Linked DNA regions of Cricetulus griseus. The protein of the gene in region 3 interacts with the protein of the main gene of each other region in a biochemical or structural test. Links are inferred from orthologs where the notes say so. Each region holds a gene or a part of one and is shown on either strand. Other genes may lie near its edges.

Region 1 (3,749 bases), on a different chromosome or scaffold from region 3:
GTTGAGAAACTCTTTAACAAGCACATCCCATGTAAAGATTTAAAGTACAGGTATGAGGTACACTAACGCCCTAGGGTGAACCATACACTGACACTCGTTCCTTTACTCAACATTGCTTCTCCGTGACAAAGCCCTTAGGGAATGAATACAAAGTCTATCTCCAATAAATGAACTAGAAAACCAACCTATCACTTTTCCATTAAGAGCAAGGAAATTGGAAAATATTTTGTCCACAAGAGAAAAATTGAAGGATGCAAAATTCATATGTACCCCTGCAAAATTTACTTCTGCTAACTATTAGCTGCACAGTGACCTCAAAATAAGCACTGTTATGAATTCAAACAGATGAGAGGCAATTTTGTTACTTCAGTTGGATCAGGCAATGCTTTTGTATTTATCAAATAAGCTCATAAAACAAAGGGACTTTTGAAGTACTCAGTAAAAGTCTACATTAAAAATTGTTTTTAATGTGTGACTCCTGCTTGCAGTTATGAAGGTTTGCCTTCCACCTACAAGTTGCCATTATCTCAAAGGTGAAATTTTAGCACATGGCTAAAATGTTCTATAGTTACAGCTTCATGATTCAGCATCAGTAATTCAGAGTGAGATCATAGGCAGTGGAAGGTGGTGTCATACTCTTTTGCCTGTGAAGGGGCGACCAGGGAATGGCATAAGCATATTGAATTTAGACTGTGGCTCCTGTGAGTACCACAATTTGTCTCTCAGCTCTTGCCTGATCAGAAGGTGCCCTCGGGAAAGATTTTAAGAATGGTAAATTTGGCTCATTAGGCATGTTGATCACCAGCTCCCCCCACCCACCTTATATGGAGTGGGCAGAAGTTTTATCAGCTTTTCGTGGAAAAGATTCCAACTTGGTACCGTGCCATCACCACACACCAGTGTGCTGGGTTTTCTATTTGGAGCTTCAAATTCTTGCACCCAACCAAAAATAAATCAAGCCAGCCATCAGGGCACCAAAAGAATACTACTGTGAAAAATCAGCATTGCCTGAAACTTAACATATAAACAACACTTCTGAAGCAAGTTTTGCGTGGCACATCCGGACACTTTAAAAATACCATCTGCTTACTAATAACAGCTACACCAGGGTGCATTAACCCTGGAAATAAATTGTAAAATCAGCCCCTTAACACAAACAACACGAGACGACCATCAAAAGATCTCCACAACTAGAAAAACAATTGGCAGGCTGTTTTCAGTACGAGCTGAGGACACTGGAACCACCGCAAAGCCCTCCTCACCAGATGGCTCCACCAACTCCCAGAGCTGGCTCAGGACCCCGCCAACCCGGTTTCTGCACCACTCTCATCCCTGGGGGCTTCCCTCCCGCGTAGCTCCGCCCCCTTCCGCTCAACTCTGCCTGGGCTGGTGGAGTTAGGGTCTGAGTGTCAAAGTCTGCTAATTTGCATAAGCCAATGGGTGCATTGCATGCAAATGAGGCGGGCCCTGATTGGCTGACGGCTAGCCCCATAACTCCGGAATCGGGGGCCTTTGTCCTCCAGTGGCCCGGAGGAAGCTGTGCAGTCCTCACCTACCGAGACTTAGGCGAGAAGCGGCGAAGCGGCGGGTGGGAGCCGAGCGAGCGCGGGGCTGGCGCCGCGCACTGGGGGGGGCAGGAGCAGCCCGCGCGCCGCGTGAGGGACTCGCACTTGCAATATGACTTTGGAGGAATTCTCGGCCGCAGAGCAGAAGACCGAAAGGTAAGTGTGCCTGCGGACTCTGTGGCCGCTGCCCCTCCCGCCGTCGGGGACCCGGCTGACCCACTCTCGCCCTGCCGCCCGCAGGATGGACACGGTGGGAGATGCCCTGGAGGAAGTGCTCAGCAAGGCGCGGAGTCAGCGCACCATCACCGTCGGCGTGTACGAGGCCGCCAAGTTGCTCAATGTGTAAGTGGTCCCGGCCGCCCGCGCCCCTGCCTCCCGCCCGCCCCCCCGCCCGCCGCCCGCCTCTACCCCGAGCTCCCTGGACAGTGTGCACTCACCGCTGCCCCGCTGTCCGCAGCGACCCCGACAACGTGGTACTGTGCCTGCTGGCTGCAGACGAGGACGACGACAGGGACGTGGCTCTGCAGATCCATTTTACCCTCATCCAGGCGTTCTGCTGCGAGAACGACATCAACATCCTGCGGGTCAGCAACCCGGGCCGGCTGGCTGAGCTGCTGCTGCTGGAGAGCGACGCGGGCCCGGCGGAGAGCGGGGGTGCCTCGCAGCCCCCTGACCTGCACTGCGTGCTGGTGACGGTAAGGGACCCGGGGCTGCAGCCCGGAATCTGTTGGGATAGACCTCGGCAGTGCTAGACGCTGATCTCGCGGGGGTTCTGATGGTACCGAGCGTGTCTAAGCTCGTGGGTGGCCTCCAGCGGCGGAAGATAGCCCTGTGAGTCAGCAGGCTGCCCAGCTACCTCTGCCTACCTCTGCACTACCTCGCGTGACTAATTCTCAGAGCAGGACAGATTAGATAAAGCCAAATAAATTCCCGGCTCACCCTTCATTAAGAAGTCAGCTTCATTCTTCATTTGCTCTCAAAGCTAAATATAGAAATAGAGTAGGAGACAGACCTTATTAATTCGCTGGAGATACTCTGGTGTGTACAGAGTGGAATTCTTTTCTCTGAACCTTTGTATTTGTTTAGATGAGCCCCCCCCCCCACGCACACACACACACAAACACACGCCCTTTAAAAATTTCTGGTTGAATAATGTTTTCAGAGAGAAATGTGCTGTCTTGGTCTTCTGTTTTTTTGTTTTTGTCCTTTCTCTGCCTTGACTGGTGTAGGCAAGTGGCACCCTGATTACTTTTGCTGCCAGTGAAAAGTGCCATTCATCACCAGGGAAGATAAGAGTGAAGCTAAGCTGCCTGCCCTGCAGCTTTCACATGGTGTGCGAGAATGTTTTCAGAGCTATTTTACTTATGACCCTACTAGGGTGCATGCTTGATAGGTTCAACTTATGAATGATAACCTCATGCAGAATGGTACAGATAATTATGCAAAACTCTGTGGCCCAGTGTGCATTACAGGTGTTTAGATCTTGCCAAATGCTACTTAACAGAATGCTCAGGTTTTGGCCCTTTCAAAAGTAGTACAATTAGTAGCATAAGCTGATGATTTTATGGAAAAGTAATTTTTCTAAATTTGTTCTTAGAACCCACATTCATCACAGTGGAAGGATCCTGCCTTAAGTCAACTTATTTGCTTTTGTCGGGAAAGTCGCTACATGGATCAGTGGGTTCCAGTGATTAATCTCCCCGAACGGTGATGGCATCTCAATGGAAATAACTGAACCAAATTGCACTGAAGTTTTGAAATACCTTTGTAGTTACTCAAGCAGTTACTCCCTACGCTGATGCAAGGATTACAGAAACTGATGTCAAGGGGCTGAGTGAGTTCAACTACATGGGGGCTAGGAGATGACTTTGCAGATGGACAGAGGTGAAAATAAAGAAGGAAGCTGTGTTGAAACAGAAATCTAAGTCAAAAGGGACAAAAACTACAAAGAACTGTGCAAGAAAGAAAACTGTTGATTTAGGATGGCTGAGTTACATTAAATAAGCCAAATATTGCTTTGTTGAAACCTTAAATGTGTAGCAATAGTTTGTTTTTTTTTTGTATTTGTTTTTTGGTTTTTTTGTTTGTTTGTTTTTTGATCTTTATGCCCTCAAGTAAAAGGAAAGTGAAAAGGATTAATTGTATTTTAAAGCTACAGGTTAATGTATTTTGATGAGATGTTAA
Region 2 (3,749 bases), on a different chromosome or scaffold from region 3:
CTTATAAGAAGACAATACACAATTAATAGCCTAAGTGTGTATAAAGGCATAGGAATACCCTCCATAAAAACTGATTTGAAAGTGAAACTCTTTCATTTTTACCCATTCCAGGAATGACTTATCCATGTGTCCCCACCATCATGGTCTCTAAGGGAAGCACAGTTTATAAAACTGGAGAGAAATAATAGTCATGTTCTAAGCTAATGTATTTATTTGCTTTTATTAAAAAGGGAACATTTGTAATAGAATTGTATGAAATAATATACCTTGCAGAAAGAAAGAGTTCAGAAAAAATCTTGGGGGTGGGTATTTGTATTTTAGTAATTACACAAGTATGTGTATATACAAGAATTACAGGAAGAGGGCAGCCTAGTAGGACCATCTGTAGATTCCTATGGCTAGAACCAAACATACTTGGAAATGGAAAAGCTTTTTTTTTGTTTTGTTCTTGCTTTATATGTTAAATCAGACACAAGTCTTAACTTTCCTTTTGTCCATTAAGATACTCTCAGTCCATGATGAATTTTGTATGAAATACTTTGTAAAGTATAAAGACCATGATGGAACAATTTCTACCTATTCATTCAAGTGAAAGTGTCACACAGTAACAAACACCTTCCTTTTTACATTATCTTTCAAAGCATTTATTTATGGTGAGCTTTAAAGAGTCCTTAAATAATATTATGATGAGGCATCTTTTACATATTTTACATATCTGCTGATGCCTACCAAGACATTCCTATGCTGCCCCTGAGAGCAAAAGTATCACAGGCATACAACACAGAATAATGCTGGTTGTTAGTTTGTTTTGTTTTTAAGTCCATTTTAGTTCATTTATAAACAAAAGGCAGAGAAAGCACTCATAGTAAGAACACCAGCTTGGTATTATTACTTAAATAACAAGGTTATTCAGGAACACTTGAGTGTTAACTGGTTAAATACTTACTGCAAACCTGAACTTTAAAATGCAGTTAATTCAAAAGTAAGAGAAATCTGCTCTTTCAACTCTGTTCAAAACTTTTAAAATAAAACAGCCAGAAGTCCTAATGACTTCCTACGTGGCTTTTATACATCACTAGTTGCTATGACAGGATACACCACTGAGAACCATTACATATAATGTGGTTAGTGGCTACACTCCACAGAAAAAAAAAAAAACAAAAAACAAAAAACAAAAAAACAAAACAAAACAAAAAAACAAAAACAGAATACTAATCCCCTAAAGATGAACAAAGAGTCATTTTAAACAAATGCTGTATATTTAAATCTATTGAATGAGGATGTATTTCTAATGTTTGAACTATTAGTTTCAACTACAAGACACATTTACAAATAAGATGCAAACTATTTCCAATTTTATGTATAAGACCAAAAAGTGGCATATATTCTTCATTGCTTCTCTATACAGGCATTTACTGTGGGGTACCTCCTCTTTGCTACCACACAAAACCAACATGAAATTATTTTAAAGGTTCAAATTAAAATCTGTTTTTAAAAAAGTGAATGTTGAACTTAATTGGATTCTATCACACCACACACACACACACACACACACACACACACACACACTATGAAATAAGACAATCATTTGTTTTTAAAACTTCTCATTGTTTGAAAGCATAACATTGGTGGGGAAACCTTTCGATTAGGACAATATTATCTTGCAGGTTTGTCCAGACAGTATACTTTATCACATTTAAAGCTGTATAATTCATGAAACTTTTTTTTTCAGTAACCCATAATTGGATTTCCTTTTTTAATTACCATCTATGTGACAAAGCACTTAACTCTAACAGGGAGACTTGACTTCTAGTCAACATGCAAACAAGTCCTGAATAAATTAATCTCAATTATATTTTTTCCAGAGGAAATTACAGTCATCTCATCACCAGTCAAAATATCTAACTTTGATTTATTATGAACCAGTTTACCACGGATATAAATATTAATGATATCATTTCCATCCCTGTCCCACCCAGCCCTTCCTCCACAGCCCCTCTCACCCTCCCCCCCCTTAAGATTTATATTCTTTCATGGCTTTTTTGTTTGTCTGAAATCACTGTATCTCCTGGAAACTTTTAAAGTAAGCGTCAACATGGAAAAGAAAATAAAAAAAAAAAAGAAGAAAAAAGGTTAGGACCCATCTAGCAGGAGTGATGTCTTAGGTTATTCAGCTCATCTGGACCAGTCCTGGAATGTGGGTATAGAACGGGAGAATTGCAGGGAGGTCATTGGTAACATTACAAGAACTTCACTCGAAAATTCTCACCTTCTGGGCTGCTTTAGAAGGACTCTTGTTCTTGCTGCCTTTGGGTCTTCCCCTGGGTCTCTTGGGAGAGGGCTCACAGGTTGGCTCCTAATTGGAGGGAGGAAAGAAAAGCTGTTGTGGCTAGACCGGCAGAAAGAGAATGACCCTGGCTCTGCCTGTGTTTTCTGCCTGGGCCGCTTAACAAACCTGCTGGAAGTCATTCAGTTCATGCATAGTTGGATGATGGTGGCACAGCGTTTGCACAAGTGGAGGGTGGGAGGGACATAACCATAGTCTCATGTGCTCAAGGAGAAAACTACTTTGCATGTGAAAACGAGATTATATTTTGAAATCAAAATAATAGCGAAACCTGGAGGAGTTGCAATTTTCTAGAAAGTCCCATGTTTGCAAGGTACAAAGTTTACATGGCTGTGCACTTGGCAACTCACAGAAATAATAAACATTTTATAGGACTACCACTACCATTCTACTGGGATTTCAAACAACAGAACCCAACGTCATAGAGAGCTGGAAAGATAGCTGGATACACGGAAGGGATGGCTTCCAATCACTTCTCTATACCTGTTTCAGGTGCTTTAGAATTGAACCCACACATTCCGAGTGCAGTATTGGAGCGATTATCCAAACTCTTCAGCTCGGAATAATTCCATACCCCCTAAAATTTCCCAATAATTATGGTAGATCTGAGGTGGGAGGTTTTGCTTGAATTAACTAGATAATTGCTTCAATTCTCCACTTCCTTTTGAGAGGCAGGCATAGTCTCCAGTCGAAATTTAAATATCTTTTTTAAAAAATAAACATGTTGCGTTAGAGGGTAGAAAGAAAGAAAGAAAGAAAGAAAGAAAGAAAGAAAGAAAGAAAGAAAAAGAAAAAAGTTTCGTGGGGTGCAGTGGAAATAAAAGGGGGGAGATGGGTGAGGAATGTACCTGGAAGGAGAAATTGAACTGGCCAGGTCACCAGGTACATCACCGCTTTCCTTTATTGGGTGCTAGGCTAAATAGCCAATACTCAAGCAGTTAAGAAAATGTGATGATTGATACTCCGGGGATGCCGAACATCTCTCCGGTGAATCATCTACTCTCATTTCATTCATATTGCGTGCTTAAATGAGACTAATTACAATTCACGGAACTTCTCAATGGAAGCTCGCATTCTACTTAGCGTGGGGGAAGGTTTCTTGGAAGCGTCCATTAGATACTCGCGCCAGTGGGCACTTAGAGCAAACACATCGGAAACACATTTTTCTTTGTGAGCTCGGCCTTTACTCAAAGGTAAAAACTCCCAGTCACCTCCGGATCCCCTTGCGTTTTCTTTTAGACTTTTTTTTTTTTTTAAACTGGGGGGAGGTGCGATTAGTAGAATTCCAAAAAGCTGGGTAGATGGTGGGAAGCAAGAAGGTAGAGCGGGGACTTCCTGGGAGGTGTAAAACAGAGTCCAAAGGCACAGTGAAGTGTCGCCAAGGGCAGAGCGGGAAAACTCG
Region 3 (3,749 bases):
CCTGAGTACTGGGATTAAAGGCTTTTCTCTCTCCCCAACCCCCTGCATGTGCTGTGTTTAAATGATCCAGAATCTAGGAAACAATGAAGTAGTTTTTTGACCCGCCCTGGCTCTAAGAACATTCTCCCTCCTAGACTAGAAGCCTTCGAATTTTGAATGGCCAGACTGCTCACTTGTGGTTTTCCCTTTTCCCGTTTATCTCAGTTGCTTACATAGACAGTACTTCCAAGTTTCAGGATTTACTCTAGTAGTTGTAAAGTGGAAATTCACTGGGCCCCATTCACATCTTGAGGCTGATTTTTTCCCCCCCAAATTTAGGATTTGGTTAATAATCTGCTCATACGTTTTATACTCAACTGGTCTTCCCAATTGGACCATCTCTGGAGTAAAGAGTCTGGGGGCATGAATACCATTACTCACATTCCTCCCAGTAACCTTTTCATTTGCTAGCTATGTTGAGATAAAAAGATTAGGGCTGCTCTCAGTACGCACCCAATGTTGAGGGATGTTTGTCGGGACGCAGTTTAAAATGCTATTTCCCAGCCAAAGATTCTAATCAAGGCTCCTGTATTTCTTAGAAGTCATATGCCTTCATTTGGAATGATAAGGATGACCTGCGTGTTCTCAATTCTGCACACACCTCTAAACTTTTAGAAAGGTGCTCTTTGGCCCTCGAATGACGTAAAGCTGAGAACTTAAGACTTTGGAGATGCTGCCTCAGAAAAGAGGTATAAAAAGTATGGCTGATGCCGGGCGGTGGTGACGAATGCCTTTAATCGCAACACTCGGGAGGCAGAGACAGGCGGATCCCTGGGAGTTTGAACCCAGCCTGTGAGTTCCAGGACAACCAGGGCTGTTACAGAGAAACCCTGTGTGGAAAAACCACAAAAAAAAAAAAAAAAAAAAAAAAAAAGGCTGACAAAGTGGCAAGCAGAGAATCATTCTACTAATGATCCGTCTGTCCTGCCTTTGGCTCCTGAAGCTCTATGGGAAAAGGATAAAATAAGACCAAGCCTTCGAGGAGGTCAAATCCTGAGATTATGCCTGTTGCAGGTCTACCGAGAACCGGAGGGCGAAGAACAGCGAAGGGAGTCGCCCGCTGGTTCCCGGCCGGCAGTCGCCATCTTTTAGGGTGGGCTGCGCAGCCTCTCCGCGCAGGGCCCGCGTGGAGAAGCCGAAACGTGGTAGCTTCGGAGGGCTGGAGCGCGTTACAAAGGGAAAGTGCGCCTGCGCTCGGGCAACCGCGCTGGAGGGGCGGGGCCAGAGGGAGGACGCGCGTGCGTAGTGCGAGCCCGCCAAGCACCTGGAAGAGGTGGGGAGGGGAGGTAGAGAGGCGTGGGATAGGACAGCGCTTGCGCAAGAGCGAGACAGTGCGGGAAGTGGGGGATCCGGAGCACGCTCGCGGAGGCGGGACTAGGGCAGATCTCGCGAGATTTGCTGCGGCCATATATACGTGCGGCGAGCCCGCGTCCTTTCCCTGGCGTGATTCCGTCCTGCTTGTCTGTTCTGAGGAGCAGTAGGCAGTTTCCTCCGTCCGATATCTCGCATACCGAAGTGCGCGTCTCCACCTCATGGAAGACTCGATGGACATGGACATGAGCCCTCTTAGGCCACAGAACTACCTTTTCGGTAACTGCCTGGCGGGGAGGGCCTGGGCAGGGCCTGGTGGTTGGGGGGGCGGCGGGAGTCCAGTTGAGGCCTGGCGTGTGCCAAGCGCGGCGTGGGTGGAGGCCTTTGCACGGCTGGGAGGAACCGCCTGGGCCGCGGGAGCCGAAGAAAGCCGAGGCCCGGGCGCTGAGCGGGACCGTAGCTTGGGGCGGCAGCGGCCCAGCCTCGAGCCTCTGGCGTTGAGAGGGCGGTCGGCCGAGGGTGCCAACTTGGCTTGGGGCGCGAGCAGGGGCTGTGACGACACTTTCTCTTCATACGTGAAGAAGGCCTCAGGACCTGGCAACAGGCAGCTGAAATTCAGCGCTGGGCCCCAGGCGCGTCCCGGGATAATGGTGCCTCTGGAGCGCGGCCTGCGCCGCCTCGTTGGGACGGTATAAGTGCAGTCCGCTGGGCTTTACAGGGGCTTCGGCCCCTCCTCCCCGTGCATCCGAGAGGTTCCGCCGCTGACAGGGACTCGGCCGGCCAAGCTCCCTGCGGCTGAGGGGGCCGCAACCCCTGGGAACACGTGGTTGCCACGTGGTTGGGGGTAGGGAGGGGGTGTGGGCTCTACATCCGGGCTCTCCTCACTTCTTAACCCTGGTCCTTCGGGTCCTGTGGTTTAATTAGGAGTGCTAGGCGGGAAACGCGTAAAGTGGCGCGTGGCGTCCGTGTCTTTGTTAAGATCTTGTAGCATCCACGGTGATGGTAGTGACTTTTTTTTAGAGACCCTTTAGTGCCTCTGCAAGAGGTGGAGTCAGCCCCACGCTGCCGATGACGATATTGATGGTCGAAGGGTCTTGATGTTAAGAGAGGGCCACGAAATCTTAAGTCGAAACTATCCTTTTCCCTACAACTGGTCTTTTTTTTTTGATTGGGCCGGGGAAGAGAGAGAAGTGCCTCCCGCGTTTAGCAGATTAAGGGATCACTTTGGTAACTCGGCTTCTGGGGACCCCACTGTCACTGCACATTCAGCTTATCGGTTTTACAGTCTATTAGTTTGGTTTTCAGTGACTCGAGTCAATTTTTTCAAAATTCCGAGTGTTTAAAGCACTTTCCCCTACGTGAATGAGTAGTACATGTTTAATGTACTCTAAGCATGAAGGGTTTAAGCTGTCCCTACTGGTCATGTGTAACCACTGTTGATTTGTAGTAATTTCCTTTAGAACGTAGGTAAGTTGGGTTTTTTAAAAATAGTGCTAGATAATGGTATGGTGCCACTATGCAAAAATCCAGTTTTAGGTCATTGGGTTTTCTGTGAAAAAATGGTAACGGTGCCTCATTAATTGGTCGTGAGTTACTATGAAAAAGTAGAACTTTTATTGGCTTTCTTATACAGTAGATTCCACGGAGAGAACATTTTTAAGTTAAAAGAGTAGAAGTTAATGGTCGTTTGGGACTGTGATGTTCATCTTGCTAGATTTATTTTATTTTTTCTTTACAGGTTGTGAACTAAAAGCTGACAAAGATTATCACTTTAAGGTGGATAATGATGAGAATGAACACCAGTTGTCACTAAGAACGGTACTTAAACTTTGAAATTAATTAGCCATTAGATTTCAGCCACTTGGATCTAAGTGAGGGGATTTATGTCAGTTTGTGCTTCCTTAACTGATGGAAAAATAGTATTTTTATAACTTTAAAATAGTTCACATATGTACTGGTAACAAAGAACTGGGTGTCTTTTCCACAGTCACTGTTATAATTAGTTGTCTAGTAAGGCTCTGCAGGATGTGATCTTTTTAAGTCTGTTGGCTATATTTTATTGGTTGTTTGGCTTTCTTAGGAACATACAGTGTTTTGTGTCTATGCATCTCGTAATTATATGAGAGGACTAGTTATCAGTAGTGAGAAGAGGCTAATTAAAAAATTTAAGGGGTGTTTATAAAACAACTGGGTACTGAAGGATCTTTCTTTTTGTTCACAGGTTAGTTTAGGGGCAGGGGCAAAAGATGAATTACACATCGTAGAGGCAGAAGCAATGAACTATGAAGGCAGTCCAATTAAAGTAACGCTGGCAACATTGAAAATGTCCGTACAACCAACAGTAAGTACATTTGTAAACATTGTTTTTAAAGTTGGTCTCTAAGACTGATTTAGGATAA

The links.
Region 1: the proteins of nucleophosmin (region 3) and Gadd45a form a complex in vitro, tested with the Homo sapiens proteins (2 studies listed by BioGRID). The link is inferred for Cricetulus griseus from reciprocal best matches to the Homo sapiens genes NPM1 and GADD45A.
Region 2: the proteins of nucleophosmin (region 3) and Hmga2 interact in far-western blotting, tested with the Homo sapiens proteins (2 studies listed by BioGRID). The link is inferred for Cricetulus griseus from reciprocal best matches to the Homo sapiens genes NPM1 and HMGA2.

The regions. Positions count from the first base shown.
Region 1 is NC_048601.1:76,185,343-76,189,091, forward strand, and holds the start of Gadd45a (growth arrest and DNA damage-inducible protein GADD45 alpha), read left to right. Parts: upstream 1-1,508; 5' UTR 1,509-1,677; coding exon 1,678-1,721; intron 1,722-1,805; coding exon 1,806-1,907; intron 1,908-2,002; exon of another isoform or gene 2,003-2,022; coding exon 2,023-2,260; intron 2,261-3,162; coding exon 3,163-3,276; 3' UTR 3,277-3,749. UniProt on the Homo sapiens protein: In T-cells, functions as a regulator of p38 MAPKs by inhibiting p88 phosphorylation and activity.
Region 2 is NW_023276806.1:136,301,245-136,304,993, reverse strand, and holds the start of Hmga2 (high mobility group protein HMGI-C), read right to left. Parts: upstream 2,718-3,749; 5' UTR 2,576-2,717; coding exon 2,456-2,575; intron 2,357-2,455; coding exon 2,270-2,356; intron 1-2,269.
Region 3 is NC_048600.1:48,346,971-48,350,719, reverse strand, and holds the start of nucleophosmin, read left to right. Parts: upstream 1-1,455; 5' UTR 1,456-1,571; coding exon 1,572-1,629; intron 1,630-3,088; coding exon 3,089-3,168; intron 3,169-3,571; coding exon 3,572-3,691; intron 3,692-3,749. UniProt on the Homo sapiens protein: Involved in diverse cellular processes such as ribosome biogenesis, centrosome duplication, protein chaperoning, histone assembly, cell proliferation, and regulation of tumor suppressors p53/TP53 and ARF.